Linked DNA regions of Anolis sagrei. The protein of the gene in region 1 purifies or fractionates together with the protein of each later gene. This does not show direct contact. Links are inferred from orthologs where the notes say so. Each region holds a gene or a part of one and is shown on either strand. Other genes may lie near its edges.

Evidence for each region.
Region 2: the proteins of FYB1 (region 1) and LCP2 purify together in Homo sapiens (co-immunoprecipitation; 6 studies listed by BioGRID and IntAct, with this or other methods). This does not show direct contact. The link is inferred for Anolis sagrei from reciprocal best matches to the Homo sapiens genes FYB1 and LCP2.

Annotation. Positions count from the first base shown.
Region 1 is NC_090022.1:277,911,701-277,920,879, reverse strand, and holds the start of FYB1 (FYN-binding protein 1), read right to left. Parts: upstream 4,336-9,179; 5' UTR 2,875-4,335; coding exon 2,872-2,874; intron 1-2,871. UniProt on the Homo sapiens protein: Acts as an adapter protein of the FYN and LCP2 signaling cascades in T-cells. May play a role in linking T-cell signaling to remodeling of the actin cytoskeleton. Modulates the expression of IL2. Involved in platelet activation.
Region 2 is NC_090022.1:104,301,840-104,311,429, forward strand, and holds the start of LCP2 (lymphocyte cytosolic protein 2), read left to right. Parts: upstream 1-5,929; 5' UTR 5,930-6,027; intron 6,028-8,961; 5' UTR 8,962-9,192; coding exon 9,193-9,270; intron 9,271-9,590. UniProt on the Homo sapiens protein: Adapter protein primarily involved in signaling pathways within T-cells, as well as other immune cells such as platelets, mast cells, and natural killer (NK) cells.

The DNA.
Region 1 (9,179 bases):
ATATGCATACATTTTGCATGCCATTCGTTGGACCATGAACTGCCCCAGCCACAATCGTGTTTGCAATGTGCTGTTTCAATGCCTGGCAACTGGTCACATGCTTTGTATCCTACTGACTACAGACTATGGTGGACATGGATGATAAGGGCAGAAAAAAACCCACAGTCAGCTTCCTTCCTCCCTCCCTCCCTCCCTCCCTCTTTTCTTTTTTTGGCCACAAGCACTTCAAAAGCAGTGGCACGCACATGCTTTTCCTTTCACTTAGTCTGCAACACTAATATAAAATGTACATGTCTTAGGCATGTCTTATTGTATGTTCTTGCATTGCATGCCCTCCAGCATGTCAGAGATGGAAACTGGGATGCCTGTGGCCAAGAATGAAGCCACTAGATTGGCTTTTTAGTTGTTATTGTATTAACTGAATGTTTTAACTATTGTGGTTATTGTTGTTATGTATTTTATCTGCTGAATTGTTGGCATCGAATTGTGCCGGTTGTAATCTGCCCTGAGTCCCCCCTAGGGGATTGAGAAGGATGGGGTAGAAGTGCCCAAAATAAATAAACAAATAAATAAATAAATAAGAGTGATAAATGAGGAAAAACACTGAGGTAGAAGATGCCAGACATTTTGTTTTTGTGTAAGAACAAGGTTCTGTGTCCCACTGCTTTGCTCTGTTGAATTAACTAACCACCTTATCAGACGGCCAGCAGCAGAAGGGGGGAATGGTCTGTTTCGCAGTGAGGCATGGAGAATTTGGCACCCCCATACCTCACATTGCCTGCCTTGCTGGGAGGGCAATCACATGGAGGAAAGTGTGGAGTGCAAGGCTTTCCCCATAGATTGGGCAATCAGGGAAACCTCCCATGTTGCCAGGGCAATGGCAGCACACTGGTCCTGCTCCTCTGCACCCACAGACCCAGCACAATGTCATTTGATGGGAGCCGGCCGGTTCTGTGGGTGACTGAGGCTAGATGTTTGCCACTGAATCTAGCCCCATTTTATGAGTTTGTTACTGCAAATTGATTTAACATTTTGAACTCAGTTTGCAGCAGCTGAAGTAAATTGAGGACAAAGGGGGAAGTGGGAGGAGGAGAGAGAAACAGGTCATTTTACAGGCAGCTGTGGTTAGGGGCACAGGTATATGAATAAAGAAAATGGTTTTTTTTTTACTTGAGAGAACATCTTTCTAGGAATTTCTAGGTCTTCTGGAAGCTGACAAGAGAATTATGGGGCCCTTCCACACAGCCCTATGTCCCAGAATATCAAGGCAGGAAATCTCTCATTATTTGAGTGTGGACTCAGATAACCCAGTTCAAAGAAGATATTGTGGGATTTTCTGCCTTGATATTCTGGGATATAGGACTGTGTGGAAAGGGCCACATTGGAGGATCCAGAAATTACTAAAGAGGTGCTCTCTCTTTGATTTCCTAGGTGCTCCAGCATGGCTGGAGAAAGTTGACCAAAGGGTCTCATTGGGGAATCTAGAGATTCTTAGAGAGAACATTTTTGATCAAACTAATGAATAATCAAACCCACAAATATGGAGGGATAACTGTAGTTAAATGATCCTTGCATGAAGCAGAAGTGTGGATTAGTACTTTGAAAGCTTTCTCATATGGAAGCAGTTTCCCCCCCTAACCTGTCAGGGTTTGTTGAGGATTTTTGTACCTATCAGTTACAACCATTGTTTTCTTTCCTGAAAAATTTGCTGCTAGCCACCAGTACACAGATCACCACATTAAGTAACATGGGTTGAGTATGAGTATCCCTTATCTGAAATGCTTGGAACCAGAAGTGTTTTGGATTTCAGAGTTTTTTCCTGGTATATCTATATTTGTGTATATTTACATAATGAGATGAGACCCAAATTTAAACATAAAATCCACTTATGTTTCACATAAACATTATGCACATAGTCTGAAGGTAATTCTATACATTATTTTTAAAAATATTGTGCAACATGTACATTGAACCATCAGAAAGCAATGCTGTTATTATCCCAGCAAGCCATGTGGACAATTTTGGAATTTGGAGTATTTTGGAATACTAGATAAGTAAAACTCATCTTGTATTGGGCTAAATGATGTCCAAGTTCTCTTCTAACTCTAAATCTTGATGGTTATTTGAATCTGCCAAGTAGTCCAGCAGTGTTGATGTTGATGTTTGTTGTTGCTGTATGTCTTGTCAACTTTTGGTGACTCTATCATAGGGTTTTCTTGTCAAGATTTATTCCAATGAGGTTTGCCGCTGCCATCCTCTTTCTCAGGTAAAACACTTGGCTTTAAAGGGCATTTTATTACGTTTATTCTCCATTGTTTCATTAGAGATCTCGATAGTTCTATCTGCATAATTATGCATATTGATGTTATTATAAGCAACAATTCTGCAAATTTAGTTAGACTGAGAAACAGTTATTGATCCAGGAGAACCTAACTGGCTCAATGATACTTGGATCTCCCAATTTCTAGCCCAACACTACAATAAGTACTGAATTTAGTCTCTCCAGCACTGCTTGTAACCTATCAAGCTATATTCAGCTCCCTAGCTATCTGTGACAGCCCACCAGAGTCTTGATAAACACATCTGTCCAATCTGTTTGAAAGCTCAAAAATACCAGTATTACCAATCTCTCCATAGACCAGGCATCTGCCGCATTTGACTCGCTGAGCTGCAAACTGGAAGCCACCTGCCAAGCTTAAAAAGATTTTATCCAGTTTCTGAGTGCCTTAGACAGTTGGCTTTGCAAAGATATGAAACTGAAATGTGGACATAAGTCACTCAAGCAGTTTGCAGAGCAGCCTTCTTAATGTTTCTTCTTTTTTATCAGTTTCCATGAAACAGTGAAAACAATGAAAACATTTCTGGACTTACCATGGCTGTAGAAATTCTCTAGTGCACTCCCAACCCTGTTGAAGAGTGCAGTGTTACAAGACGAAGGCTTTCTTTGCCTTTTGCCTGGAACTTCCTATTTTCAAAGTGTCAAGTGGTTTTTATCCAGCCTTTGTAGGAAAATTCTAACAGTACCATTCATTGTTTGCATATTGTGAACCGTCATTTAACAGAGCTTGTAGCAGCAACTTGCAAAATACTCTGTAGAACTGTGAGGCCAGAAGGCAGAAATATTGGGAAATCCATGCACATGAGTGAGGAGAACATTCACAGAAATGAAGAGTATTACATTAATACACTTCCTGCCTATGAATTCTCAGTTCAGTCTTGAATGTTGAAAACCCATGTAATTTTCACTTTATTTATATTTTATTTCAGCACCTGCACCCTATTTTTCCAGCAAAGAGTGCATTGATACAAGGCTTCTATTGAGCAATTGCCTACCCATTTACCTACATTTAGGATTAAGGGGCTGGACATTTTCACTTGTAATCCTCCTGTCTTTTCCTCCTCCTTTTCCTCTCACCCTCCTCTTTTTCTCTCAGCAGAAATCCCATGGAGAATATAGAATAGCTGCACAATGTCTTTTGACTGATAGTGCTAGGAGCCAAAGACACAGAAACAAAAGTAAAATCATAGGGTGCAGCTCTACTACACATTTAGAGCCAGTTGATACCACTTTCTCTGCCATAGATCTCTGTTATAGAATCTGGGATTTGCTGTTTGATGAGTTCAATGGACGTCTTTGCTGGATTACAACTAGGAATCATAGTTGAAAGAGACAAGGGCCATCCATTCCAAACCTCTGCCATGATTTGGGACCTCATTGTCAGAGAATTCACAAAATTACAAATTCTACGATTCCATACAATGGAAATACAGGAGTTATCAAAGTTTAATGAATAGTAGTGTAGTGTGGGGAGCCCTGGTGGCACAATGGGTTAAACCATTGAGCTGCTAAACTTATTGACCATAAGGTCGCAGGTTTGAATCCGGGGAGCAGCATGAGCTTCTGCTGTCAGCCCCAGCTTCTGCCAACCTAGCAGTTCGAAAACATGCATATGTGAGTAGATCAATAGGTACCGCTTTGGCAGGAAGGTAACGGTGCTCCATGTAGTCATGCCAGCCACATGACCTTGGAGGTGTCTACGGACAACGGCTTAGAAATGGAGATGAGCACCACCCCTCAGAGTCGGATACAACTGGCCTTAATGTCAGGGGAAAACCTTTACATTTACCTTTAGTGTAGTGTGATTACTAACATAGTGGTTAATAATGAAAATTAAAGCTATGCAGAATAATAATACCATAAATGTATCTTATTCAGTGGCACAAAAATTGCTTTGCATTGAGAAACTCCGAGGTTCAGTCTCTGGCATTTCTCCAGGGTGAGTTGGAAAGGGTCCATCCTAAAACCTTGACAGAAAACGTGATAATGCCTGTTAAAGAGAAAGATAGTGGAAAAAGAGGGACATCTCACTATAAGTGAATTGGTTTAAGCAAACATGCCACACCACTAAGTTTGCAACCCTTACTCAAGGCTGCTGAAGAGTGGGGATCTTGGAGTTCATTCATTCGTAGAACCACCATAAATCAAAGTCAACTTACTAGTAAATAGCAAATACTTATTAAGAATGCTCATCCCACCAACTAAAACTTTACAAGGAAAACAAATCCCTCTGTCCGAAGTGACACTGCCAGACGTACATCCTTCTACTAAAGTAGCATCAGCAGAAAAGACAATTTCGACATTGTAGATATTTTGTTGAAGTCCAAACCCCTCTTCTGCTTACAAGCCTTTGTGTAGTCCAAGACTTCTCAAATTATCCAATGTGGACAGTCAACCATTTCCTCCTTACTACATAGTTTATTGGAAAACCACCGTAGACCAACAGCAGCTATCTTGTAAGAGAGAAGCAATCTACACAATACCATTTTGAGGGACATCATAGAATCATAGAATCATAGAATCAAAGAGTTGGAAGAGACCTCAAGGGCCATCCAGTCCAACCCCCTGCCAAGAAGCAGGAATATTGCATTCAAATCACCCCTGACAAATGGCCATTGAGCCTCTGCTTAAAAGCTTCCAAAGAAGGAGCCTCCACCACACTCCGGGGCAGAGAGTTCCACTGCTGAACGGCTCTCACAGTCAGGAAGTTCTTCCTAATGTTCAGATGGAATCTCCTCTCTTGTAGTTTGAAGCCATTGTTCCGCGTCCTAGTCTCCAGGGAAGCAGAAAACAAGCTTGCTCCCTCCTCCCTATGGCTTCCTCTCACATATTTATACATGGCTATCATATCTCCTCTCAGCCTTCTCTTCTTCAGGCTAAACATGCCCAGTTCCCTAAGCCGCTCCTCATAGGGCTTGTTCTCCAGACCCTTGATCATTTTAGTCGCCCTCCTCTGGACACATTCCAGCTTGTCAATATCTCTCTTGAATTGTGGTGCCCAGAATTGGACACAATATTCCAGATGTGGTCTAACCAAAGCAGAATAGAGGGGTAGCATTACTTCCTTAGATCTAGACACTATGCTCCTATTGATGCAGGCCAAAATCCCATTGGCTTTTTTTGCCGCCACATCACATTGTTGGCTCATGTTTAACTTGTTGTCCACGAGGACTCCAAGAATTGTAGTCAGAATTGCTAGGAATTTCATGGATATATGGTTTCCCTTTATGAACTACATCAACAGAAAAGATTGGCCGGGAAAAATACATACACTCACATGCACACAAATATCAGCTCATCTAAACTTTTAGAGGGGTGTCTTCAGTACAGATGTTTATATCTGGTTATATTTTTCTCCAGTGTAAGGATTTAAAAACTTGTTTGCTTGTTTTATAAGCCACCTTTAATTGAGAGTGGGACACATGCTATTTTCTTTCACATCAAAAGAAAATAGCACGATGGGGAACTGAGGGAGTGTTTTAAAATAACTTGTTCATAGTCTGCAAGTAGCTGTAGGAAGATCTCATTAGTAACTGAGTGATACACAAGATTTTGAACAATGGTTTGTCTCTGATAGCCTGATTTAAACAAATGCCCTACATTATCAAAATCTAAGTTTGGAAAGCATAAAACTCTAACTAAGAACCAGGAGATCTGGCTATGTAGCAAAGAACATAAGTCCTTCAATTCATGGGCTCGATCTAGATTTAGTCAGGAGTATACCCAGTGAAACCAACCTGATTTGAGGTATGTTCTCCCATTGATTTCAACTGCCCCACTGTAAGAATTCAGTGGTGCCAAACTTGTGCCCCTTCAGATGTTTGGACCTCCAACTCCCTGAGGCCCTAGCCAGTTTATCCAATGGTCAGGAATACTGGGAGCTGAAGTCCAAAACACCTGGAGGGCCACATGTTTGACACTTCTGCATCAGATCTATTGTAAAGAATGGGATCATGTAGCCCTCTAGATGTTATTGGACTGCAACTCTCAGGCGGCCTAGACAGCATAGCTAATAGTGAGGAATGCTAGGTGTTGCAGTCCAAAAAGCCATCAGGGGCACTTAGGATATTTTTCAAGTCTTTGGCTTATCTTCAATTGCAAAAACTTTGGACTCACATTGAATGGAATGCTGGCTGTCCCCATGATGCAGAGTGGCTTCCAAGGAAGATTGTGACATTTTATTTTTTGCTTTAAACTATCTACCTTATCACATGGGAAATCTTCCCCCCACCAGTGCCATTTTGCCAGGAGGTGAGGGGCCACACTTTCTGCATCACGTGATGAAGCATAACCCAAACAGGGCAGAAGCGTGCTGGCTCTATTGGAGCCAGCACAACACAGGAAGCCTCCTGTGTTGTAGGGAAAGCATCCAGCGACACTTTCACCTTGGCGGCATGGTCTTTACTGGAAGTCACATGACATTATGTGATGGTTGACATGGGGCTACATCCATTAGATGGGGTAAAAGCATCCTAGAATACTACCCCCCCCCCCATCTGATATGGTCCTTTGGCCTACTTTGGGCAAAGATGGGGGATACTCCAGCATAGGGAAAATGGAGGGATCATGTCCAGTGTGATCTCCCTCATTCTTCTTGGTCATGTGGGCACCTGTTCTGACACCTGTTCTGACAATTTAGCATAAACCCAATGTAGTATAAATGTGCATAATGTAAAAGCAGGTTTAGAATTTTAGCTTAAAATCTATGATCACCATAAATTTTACCAGGTGTTGTTGAGTCAATCATATCTTTCAATTTCTACATCTCAAGGATACTAATAAACTAAAGGGGTCAATAAAGGGCCATTTATACCATCCTGAATTGCACGGAGGAAGTAGAGTAGAGTAAATATGGAAATAGAGTTTAATCCCACCCCCCCACCCCCCGCCAACCCATCTCCACCAGACACTGCCATCCAGGACTCAGTCCTCCAAAGAAGAAATCAGCTTCTTATAGCTGTGGGAAATGGTGAGTGTGCAACAGGACAAATAAAGATGTCACTGGTGTGTTTGGGTTTGTGTGTGAACCCTGAAGAATTCTCCCTAAGTAGTCCCTAAGACAGCTCTAGGTCTATAAGAAAATAAAATAAAGTAAAATAAAATGGAATGTTTCCTGTCAAAGATGCAGTAATTCTGATAGAGGTGGGGCTATTTCTCTCTGTTGCTGGCTTGTCTTCTCCCACAGGTTATTATCAGCACTATTCGGCTTAGCTGTCATTCACAGTGTTGTCCTTATTACAATTTTTAGTTGAACTTCTATGTGAGACTTCATTGGTGTGAAGGCTTTGTGGTTTTCAGCCTGACTGGCACCAGGAAGTGGGCAGAAATCATCTCCTAGATTGGCAGAATGCCTACCTGAACTTAATTATGGGGGAAATATAATGGTGTATATCCCTAAAGAATTTAGAATGCTCTTTATTACCCTGAATGCTTCTTTCTAAAAGGTCCTCTTTTAGATTCTTTCAGAGAAGTCGAGAGGTTCTTTCCCCGCTTACAGGCTGTCATTTCCTCTTCTAACAATGAACTATTTTTAAGGCAACTCTATAGCAATTTCCTATATTATACTGTCCCTACTTCCTTGGCCCAGACAAACCAGCCTCCTCTTCAGAGGAAGAAATGGTTCTCATCCCTCCTAAGTAACCTTGCCAAAAATCAGCTGGCAATTATCATAAGTGCCTATGCACCAACACTAGATGCTAATGAAGACATCAAAGAAAAATTCTACTGTCAGCTGGATACATCCTATCTGAGATATGCATGGAGGATAAAATCATCATCCTGGATTATTTTAATGCAAGAGTAGGAGAGATTTCGACCTGTGGCCAGAGACTATAGGGAAAGATGGGGTGGGAAACAGCTCACTTCTCATCCTACTTCTCACTAAATGTGTGGAACAAAACCTTGTCATCACTAATACGTTCTTCTGCCAGAAAAATCAGCTTAAGATGTCATGGAAGCATCCCCGGTCAAAGCATTGACATCTCGTAGATTATATAATTATATGTTCCAGAGATTGCTGTGATGAACTTCTCATAAGAGCCATGAAAAGCTTTGATTACTGCTATACCGACCATTAATTCGATACCCAATAGCCATCAAGATCACTCTCATATATAGACTCCAAAGAAAAAAGATAAGGTGCCCTCTAAATATGCCTTTTTCCAAACAGCATTCAAGGATCATCTATCTATGGAACACACTGAAAATATTGAGGAACATGGGGATGAAACGGAAGATGTCTATCATTAATAATAATAATAATAATAATAATAATAATAATAATAATTTATTTATATCCCACCAGCATCTCCCCGAAAAGACTTGGGGCAGCTCACAAAAGCACTCAATAGTGCAAACATATAAATATAACAAAGTACAGTGTTGCCATCAGTGTTGCCTCTGAAAAATCCTGCAAATCCCTTGGGAAGACAGGCACACAAACATCAGTGTTCCGGAAGAAGCAAAGACCACCAGCATTGAAACGATGTTTCTCTACCATCAACTTCACTGGACTGGTCACATTGCTGAAATGCCTGATAATTCTCTCCCAAAGCAGTTAATTTACTCTTAGCTCTAAAACGGAAACTGGAATGTTGGTGGAAAGCAAAAGAGATTTAAAGATGGGCTGGAAGCTAAGCTTAAAAAATCTGGAAAAAACACACAGAACTGGAAAGTTCTGGCCCTAGAGCATTCTAACTGGATGTCAGCTGTTACTGACAGTGCTATGGATTTTAAAGAGGTAAGAATAGAGGGCAAAAAGGAGAAACATGATGAGACAAAAATGCATCAAGCCAAAACCTTGTCAGGATCTCCTTCCATCTGGAAATCGATGTCCTCATTG
Region 2 (9,590 bases), about 170 Mb from region 1:
ATAATATAAAAATGGGAGCCCCCGGTGGCACAATGGGTTAAACCACTGAGCTGCTAAACTTGTTGACCGAAAGGTCAAAGGTTCAAATCCGGGGAGCGACGTAAGCTTCTGCTGTCAGCCCCAGCTTCTGCCAACATGGCAGTTCGAAAACATGCAAATGTGAATAGATCAATAGGTACCACTCTGGCGGGAAGGTAACGGCGCTTCATGCAGTCATGCCAGCCACATGACCTTGGAGGTGTCTACGGACAATGCTGCCTCTTTGGCTTAGAAATGGAGGTGAGCACCACACCCCAGAGTCGGACATGACGGGACTTAATGTCAGGGGAAAACCTTTACCTTTACCTAATGTAAAAATGCATATTCACACGCAAAACGATAAAAAAGAATGATCAACTTGAACATGGCAGAAGCACAAAGTTGTGGCAAGGAAGCACAAAGTGAAGAGGCAGAAGCATTATTTTCTTCATATTGTACTCATTCCAGCCTCCCTAAATCTCTCACTCTCTTTCCTTCTCTCTATTCATGAAGCCAAACATACCAGAAATAAAAACCACACAAAATCAACTAACCCAAAGTTCCTTAAAGCAGATAGCAATCTCCCAAAGTGGACAAGAGCATGAGGCATGGAGACACATTAGAATAGAGGATGCTCCCTTGAAGCCCTAAAGCCCTGTACTCTCGCACTGTACTCTTACTCCTCTATTCTGGCTTGATTAGACCACATCTGGAATACTGTGTCCAATTCTTGGCACCACAATTGAAAGGAGATATTGACAAGCTGGAATGTGTTCAGGGGAGGGCGACTAAAATGATCAAGGGTCTGGAGAACAAACCCTGTGAAGAGTGGCTTAAAGAGCTGGGCATGTTTAGCCTGAAAAAGAGAAGGCTGAGAGGAGACATGATAGCCATGTATAAATATGTGAGAGGAAGTCATAGGGAGAAGGAAGCAAGCTTGTTTTCTGCTGCCCTGGAGACTAGGATGCGGAGCAATGGCTTCAAACTACAAGGAAGGAGATTCCATCTGAACATTAGGAAGAACTTCCTAACTGTGAGAGCTATTTAGCAGTGGAACTCTCTGCCCTGGAGTTTGGTGGAGGCTCCTTCTTTGGAGGCTTTTAAATAGAGATTTGATGGCCATCTGTCGGGGGTGCTTTGAATACAATTTTCCTGCTTCTTGGCAGGGGGTTGGATTGGATGGCCCATGAGGTCCCTTCCAACTCTGATTCTATGATCATATGATTCTACTTGTGCTCCCTCTGCTGCTAGACCTTAACTCAAAATGCTATTCTTATGTCAAAGTGAAACCTAGGACAAACAACTGCTCTTAACTCAAAATGCTCTTAAGTAGCGGTTCCACTGTATAACATGTCTTTTTTTCTATATTTTTTGCAAATCATGTGTCTCTTAAGAAGGCACAGGCTATGCGTGTGCAAATGTAGAATATCAAGAAACAAGTAGACTTCTGTCCCCATGCTGGATTGATGACTGCCTTTGGCTTTGGCTAGAAGCCTCTATTCTCCAGTACAAACAAGAGAGAAAGGACCACAGAGGCAATCTGGAGTCTCTAAGTGACTGTTTGTTGCTGCTATTTTGGGCCTTTGTTGTATTTTGGTACTTTGCTCTTTACAGAACTGACTTATTGTGAGTCTGGTTATAAAAGCAGGTCTCTTGAGGGGGTGGGCTGCTGCCAAAGGAATTAACACAAAAAAGGAGTCACCTCTTTGGATGAGTCACTTGAGGTACATATGGATGAGGGCTTGTCCTTCTGCCTGACAGACTCAAGGATTTCTTACCTAGATTCATACAGGAGATGATCCCAAGGGCCATTCAGTTCAATTGCCCATCTTACAGAAGACATGATCAAAATTTTCCCAACTGATGGCCATCCATCCTCTGTTTAAAAACCTCAAGAGAAGGAGACCCCACCACACTCTAAGGCAGTGTATTGTACTGTCATACAACTCTAACAATCAGGACATTTTTTTTCAAATGTTTAAGTGGAATTTCTTTTTCTGCAATTTGATGGGTGGTCTAGGCTAGGAACTGGATGAGGGTGTGCATCTCAAATAGTTCTGCTGGATGTCTCAGTGGTTTTCAATAACATTGGTCATAGTATAATTCTGGGCCACCTCACTGGAATGGAATTTGAAGTTACTTTTTATAGTAGCTCCAATCCTTCCTGGTGGTGTTGACTGAATCCTGTTCACAGACACCTGCCTCTTGGCTTGCAGGTTTTCTCAAGGTTCTGTTTTCTCCCTCAGGCTATCTAAGAATATTCATGAAACTGCTGGGAGAAGTCTTCTGGTTTTGGAGTGTAGTGTCATCACTATGCAGATGGCACCCTCTTCTATTACTCCTTTCCACCTTAATTCAAACAGGTGACCTTGAGTCTAATCCAGTAATTGACTTGGAGAAATCTTGACAAGACAATCAAAGGCAGATCAAGGAATAGGAATTCAATCTGTGTTAAATGGAGTTACACTCCCACTGAAGAGAGACACAAGTTTGCAATTTGGGGGACGCTTTTGGATTCAGTTTTGAATCTGGAGACCCATTTCTGTGGTGGCCAGAAGTGCTTTCACATTTGTACACCCACTAAGCTAATTTCTTGAGCTACCTAATCTGACTATAGTGCTACATTCCTTAGTTACACTCCATTTGGACTCTGTAACATGTATGTGGGCAGCCCTTGAAGAGTGCTTGGAAACTTTTGCTAATTCAAAGAGCTGCAGCATGTTAACTGGAGCAGGCTACGGGTACCATACTTTTCCCATTACAACAACTCCACTGGCTGCCAGTTTGTTTCTGGGCACAATTCAAAAAGCTGGTTATGACCTATAAAGTCCTATGGGGCTCAGGTCTAGGCTATTTATCAGACTGTATCTCCACATTCAACAATGTTAGTCTGGAATATCAATCTACAAAGACTACTTGTAGAGTATAACTAAAAGAATTTTCATTTATTGATTGTGTCAGAAGTGTACTGATAATACTTGTACCTCTGATGTCGCTGTAAGATGGTCCTCCATTGTGCATGTGGCAGGACTCAGACTGCATTGCTATAAGTGGTCTGTGGTTTCCTCTTCTCCGCACTCGCATGTCGTGGACTCCACTTTGTAGCCCAGGTATTTTGGTGTGCTGCAATGCTCCAGTGGGATTCCTTCCCAAGTAATCCTCGGAGCTTAAGATGCTTGTCTCTTCTTATAATGAAAAGCACACATCTGCATTTTAGATGGATTAGGCATCAGCTGGTTTTCCCTGTAATAGACCACAAGAGCACCTAAGGATTAAGAGGGCTTCTGTTCAGCCATTTCAAAGCTCCCTGCTTGAGTGGTGATGGCACGATTGTAAGCATAGATGAAACTGAAAGAATGAAGCTTGTAGGCAAAGCCTACTTCCTCAAATGCCTGGCGTGAGGTGCCTCCCTATATGAGCCTGCATAAGCCCTGATATCATCAAGTCTGACACTTCCTTGAATCACAAGCACAAAGGGCCTTTTCACTGACTGTCCCTAGACTCCTCTCTTGTTGTTTTTCCATTAACAGGTGGAAAACTTTTTTAAATATTTTGACAGGTTTTTAATACAATTTTTTTTAAAGTTTGAGCTAAATAGTGCTATATTTAAATGCAACTGTATTTAAATAATTTTTGACTTTTAAATGTATTTTATTGAGTATAATTTGAAACTTTTATAATACTGAAATTAGTTTAGTTCTATCTTATTGTTCATTTGTTGTATGTTTCAAGTAAAATAAAAACCAGGGGCATAAACTAGAAAACAACATATTCATTTGGTTACATTTCTTAGCCATTTACTAGAACAAATGTAGTTATAAAACATTGCTGCTATAGAAATAGAGATAAGTCTTCTTTTTGCAACCTTATTATTATTATTATTAATTATTATTATTCCTATTCCTATTCCTCCTTCCCCTGTATCTCAAGGAGATATCTGACAGTTTGTACTTTCAAAGTGACAAAGCTGATCTTTCTAGTCTCTCATAAAACCTAACATGGTCTGCACATTTCTTGTTTTGTCTGTTTGTTTGTTTTTTAGGTAATACATCTTTCAGCATGTCTGCTTGGAAATTGTAAATGTTGTAGTCTATTTTTTTTACAAATTCTACTTTGAAATGCATAACTTGGAATTAAATCCTAGCTATTTAAAATGGCTTCGTACAATTGTTTATCTAAGTTACAAACCTCAACCCACTTCTAACCCTGTCTTCTGGGAAACAAGTCTAATTAGTTTCATCTAGGTATATCTTCAAGTAAACATGTCTAAATCCTATGCTTAATAACAGTGTTGCACAATTTCACAAGCTAAAAAAACAAAGTGTTGCATTGCTTTCTATGGAAGTGACCTGAGGCCTAAGCTACAGATGACAATTCATGTCTTCAGAAGGTTATCCCAAAGTAAGTCAGGCATATTGATTTCAGAGTTACACTATGCCAGTACCTTGTTGTTAACTGACATTGACTCAAGTTCAAGTTATGGTGACCCTATAAATGAGAAACCCTCAAGTCACCCTATCACCAGCAGCCCTACTCAGAGCTTTCAGACTGAGGGCTATGACTTCCTTGGCTGAGCCTCTTCACCTGGAATGCAGTCTTTATCTTTTGCTATTGCCTTCTCTCTCATCAACCAGCTCTGTCTTTTCTAGTGAGACATGTCTTCACACATTGTGTCCAAAGTGCAATAGTCTCCGTTTAGTCATCTTGTATTTGCCAGTTTTCCCCACAATCTTTTGCTGCCTTGTCTTTCAGTTGTAGTATATGTGATGCCAAATTGAACACTAACATTTTTTTTATTCTGCTCTGAAGCCTACTTTTTCATCCCAAGCATCTATGCTTAACAACAAATCCTGTTTAGGTGTGTAGTCAATTTCTTTCTGGATTCTAGTACACATTCTTTTAAATTTCTTTTTCAGCATCTGAAGATGGAACACAAACTTGGATTATATTTAAATCATATCAATTCAGGTTTTCCTGAAATTGTATTGATACTATTTGGTCATACTTTGCATTATATTCTTTGACAACTTTTGCTGCATCTCTTCTCACTATGCATTTCACCCCATGACACAGCACCATCCAAGAGAGCCAAAGAACATCAGCAGCAGGGAGCTTGGAGGAAGAGGCAGTGTCTGTTTACTGCAGGCTGCCTTTGACCTGAGTTCCTGGTGACTGGCTCCTTACAGACTCAGGCCCTGACTGCCTGGCTGAAGCAAGGCCCAGCAGAAACACCTGCTGGGGGATAAAAGGATGATGTTGCTGGGGGCCCAGTCACACAGCACTATCCAAGAGAGCCAAAGAAGATCTTAAGATCATGACAGGGGAAGTTGAGGGCCTAGTAGGGTGTCTCGTGATGTTGCTATTATAATGATAGACTGTAATGCTGCTACTTGACCAAGAGACTTGAGAAACACCACTGTGCAAGTTTGACGAGTGACAGAAATGCAGTTTAACATCTTATCACACCACAGTTAGAAATGAAGCAGTTAATTGTGTGTGGGGTTATTATGTTTTACATTGTATTTATATGTCTATTGTGGCTAGTGATTTTATGTTATGTTTTATATAGTTTGTATAATGAGGCATTGAATTTTTGCCTAGATGACTGCTGTATAGTGCTCTGGGTCCCCCGAGGGATGAAAAAAGCAAGATAGAAATGAAGTAAATAAATTAATAATAACAATTTTGTCTTATATTTCCATTTTCTGAGTAAAGCTATGCAATTATCTGATGTAAAATGTCCAATTCCTGCCCACTTTTGCTCACTCATCCCAAGTATCGCAATGTTTATATCTTTCATTTCTTGTTTTACTATGTCTAGCTGCTGCTGATTCACGTTTCCCACATTTCATACTCCTATAATATGTGTTGTGCAGTTTTGGAATTTCCTTTCACTTCTTAGCACATCAGTTAACAGAAAATCTTTCTGACTTGAGTCCAGTTGCATCATTAACCACAGCGCTCTTTAAAGTTGATAATTCCAGAAGTTAGTTGAGTGCCTTCCAAGCTGTGAGTATAATTTTCTAGCACTATCTCTTGTTTCCTTCTTCATTGTTTTATCATAGGGCTGTCATGGTAAAAGGTGTTGGAAAGGGATTTATGGTGCCTCCTTCTGTGCAATGCAAACAAGCACTATCTATGGTGCCACTGGCCTTATTTCTGGCAGATATTCCACAGATGTGAACCCCCACTATTGCTGCTTCCCAATCATTAATTCATATTTTAGAAGGTGTATGAATAGAGTTTTGTAAAATTAAAATTTAAAACATTATAGTTTGTAGAATTCCACAGCTGATATGACCAGGAGCATTATAACATTTGAAAAAGCCTGTACAAGGGTGGAAATGGAGAACAGTCTTCTCCTTGCAGTTCTCAATTCTTTGAAGTACTTCCTTGAATTTGTTTTGTCCTAGCTTTTGGAAGCAGTAGTATTTTTGTTTTATATTAACATTGCATTGCTTTTGCACATTTTCATCCTAACCTCCACCTAGAAAAGGTTGTGAACAAATCCCAAATGTATATGTGAAAAATTGAGTTTGGCTGCACTCTTGTGGTAATATAGAGAGTGTGCTTTAATTTCTTTCCCTACAGAATTACATGAGTTCTATGTTTATTTGGAATAAAAAGAAACCATGTAAGTAAAACAATTGTATTTTGCTTTTAAAAAAAAAAAAGCAAAAGCAAATTATAGTCATACAGTTTATAGACCTTAAGTCATTTTTGTAATTACAGTTAACAGAAAAGGCATAAATAACACAATCCAAACAAAACATAGCAAAATAATCAAAGCAATCTCAATTAATCATATCTTACAAGGAACCAGACTGTAATTGATGGTGAAGATACATTAAAAATGCCTGGCTTTACTAATAATCCCATTCCAGCATCCTTTTAAGATATTTGCTTACCACATTTGGAAATGCCTCTTTTCTGCAGTATGCCATAGAAAAACATTTGATGTTTCTTCATTCAGTTTGTTTTCATTTGATCAGCACATTCTCTCCCAATAGTTTTGTTTTTTGACTAATTTCCAATTTTCATTCAGATGGAGTAAAAGACAAGATGGAGTGATTGCATCATTTTAATATTAAAAGGGCACCCACAGAAAGGAGGGATCAAGTTTGTTCTCTAGTGTCCCAGAGGATAGGATGATTTTGCCCTGTTTTGCCACTTTTAATCATGGCAAGGATGGGGCCTGCCATGCACCATAACATGATGCACGGAGAAACACCTAAAGGTGCTTTTTTTCTCCACTCTGGGGAGGAAAGTGTAGTTTGCATAGCTCCAACTGAACTACCTGCACTTTCCTCCCCTTTTTGCCATGTGATAGCAGAAAGAGCAGCGGAGCAATGTGTGTTGCTACCTTTTCTATCATCTGATGAGGGGATGTGATGAGGGGAGGGGGGAGGGTGCACAGAGTGCCACATGCCACCCTGCACACCTTCCCTTTAACTGGCAATTGCTGGTGCAATGACAAGGTCCGAAAGGGCCATGTGAAAAGGTCCCAATGCTACAGGACTATCTATTTTGATTAAACATTGGAACAAAATTTGGCAATGGAATCAATTTCCTAGAAAGGTAATGGAATCAGTTTCACTTTACATCTTCAAAAAGAGGCTGGACAAGTGATGCTGGAAATGGTCTAGTTACAGTTCCTGCACTGCCTGGGGAATTGGAGATTATCTCCTCTGCAACGCCTTCCAGCTCAATGTTTGTATTTGAAAAGATGTAAGCCATAATTCTTTTGGTTGCTTGAGTCAACCTTTGAAAGATGTGTCAACCCAATTAGATCAGATTGCTTCAAAGGATATACTCCAGTCTCTTTCCTTGTAAGTGAAGGCAAAAACTAAGCACACCGATAGTCTATCAAAATAATCCCACCTAATTTTCATTAAGGAGACTTGATTGCTTAAAAATGGATTATTATTAGGGTTCCCAACACTTGGGAAGCATGCTTTTAAGCTTTTTCTATTTTTACAAAATCTTTCTATTATCTGAAAAAGGCTGCATTGTTTTCACTTGTGAGCCACATTACCAGAGAACAGTGCAACGGCTGAATTCACACAGTGCACACAGAGAGAAGCAAGAGTGAGACTGGCAGATATTTAACCATTCTCCAAATAATCCTACTTCTTTCTAGTACATTTGTTGTTAGTCAAATCCTGTCCCTGGCCAATTTTCTTTAGTGATACTTTCTAAACATCACAGTTTGCTTATTTTACCCCCCTGCTCCACCAATAGCCCAATGTCAAACAAGAAGTGATGTCATGTCATGTGTGGGTCAATCCCAGGAACACACTCAGAACAGTTTCTTATCCCTACTGTATCCATTCCCCTGGAATTAAATTTCCCTGGTGTTCATATAGATGACACTTTTCTATGGATATGCATAAGTTTATGTAAGCCAGTTATGCTTTAAGAATATATGATAAGGCACAATTATTTGTAATACATCTGGCATACCTGAATTCGTGATGTAAGTTCAGACCCAGTTTAAAAGTCTGTTTCAAATAAATTTTTCTCAGCATTTCTGTGTGTGCGTGTGTGGTCTGTACCCTATTTCCATGTAAAAGTTCTATATACAATGCACATTGGAAAACAAGTGATCATATATTTGAACGAACTGTTCAATTTCTATATATTTTCTACTTTTTTCTCCCTTACTGGTGGTTCATATTGGTTGCTTTTATCTTTCTAGTGATTTTTTAAAAACAGAAACCCAAAGTCCTGGCAGGCTGGTGCTGTCCCCCTTCTACCAGCTAAGGGACTTCACCATTTTGCTCTAGTGTACTGGCTTCTGAAAGTGTTGACCACCAGCTTTCTTTCAAATCTTGTGCAGAAAATAGCCTTACCTAACTATATCATTTCCTCCTCTCCATTATCAACCATCTTTTTTTGCAACTGTGGGATTGAGCTGCTCTGTTTCCTTGTTTACATATTTAGATCCACAAGAAGGAAGTGGTAAAGCTGACTAACTAGCGACAGGTTTTCTGAGAAAGAAGCCAAACGGTTTGGTTCACACCGGAAGAAGTTGCTGCCTTCAGTTTATTCACAGTTCTGAAGAAAGCCAAACTGTAGGCATTAAGTGTATCTACTACTTTTGGTTGCTACTGAGGCGAGTCCTGTGACTGGGTTGGTTTGACTGGCATGAATACGTCTGTAACTGGAACCTAAATGGATTCTCGATACACTCCCTATCGCTCTGAGGTGGTCCGGTGGTCCCCAGATGACTTGGCAGACTACTTTAAGAAGGTGAGTTTCACTTCATTTCAGCAGTTCGATTTTTACCCCACTCCTTATTATTTCCACTTGTGGGCTTTTGCTTTCATAACTTTAGAAGTTAGTTTCATTTTTGACATAATTTGCAACGTTTTCTGAATGTGATAAATTTTTTAGAAAATGGTTTCTAGCCTCCTGTCTTAAACTAAGTCTTTTCTCCTTTTCATTTGTTGGAAGTCTTAAATCTTTTTAGTGGCACAACGAGATAGTTATGTTAGTTTTATTATAGAAATTCATAAAGAAATCTGGTAGCACTTCTGAAACTAACTGGGAAAAGGAAATTTGTAGCATAA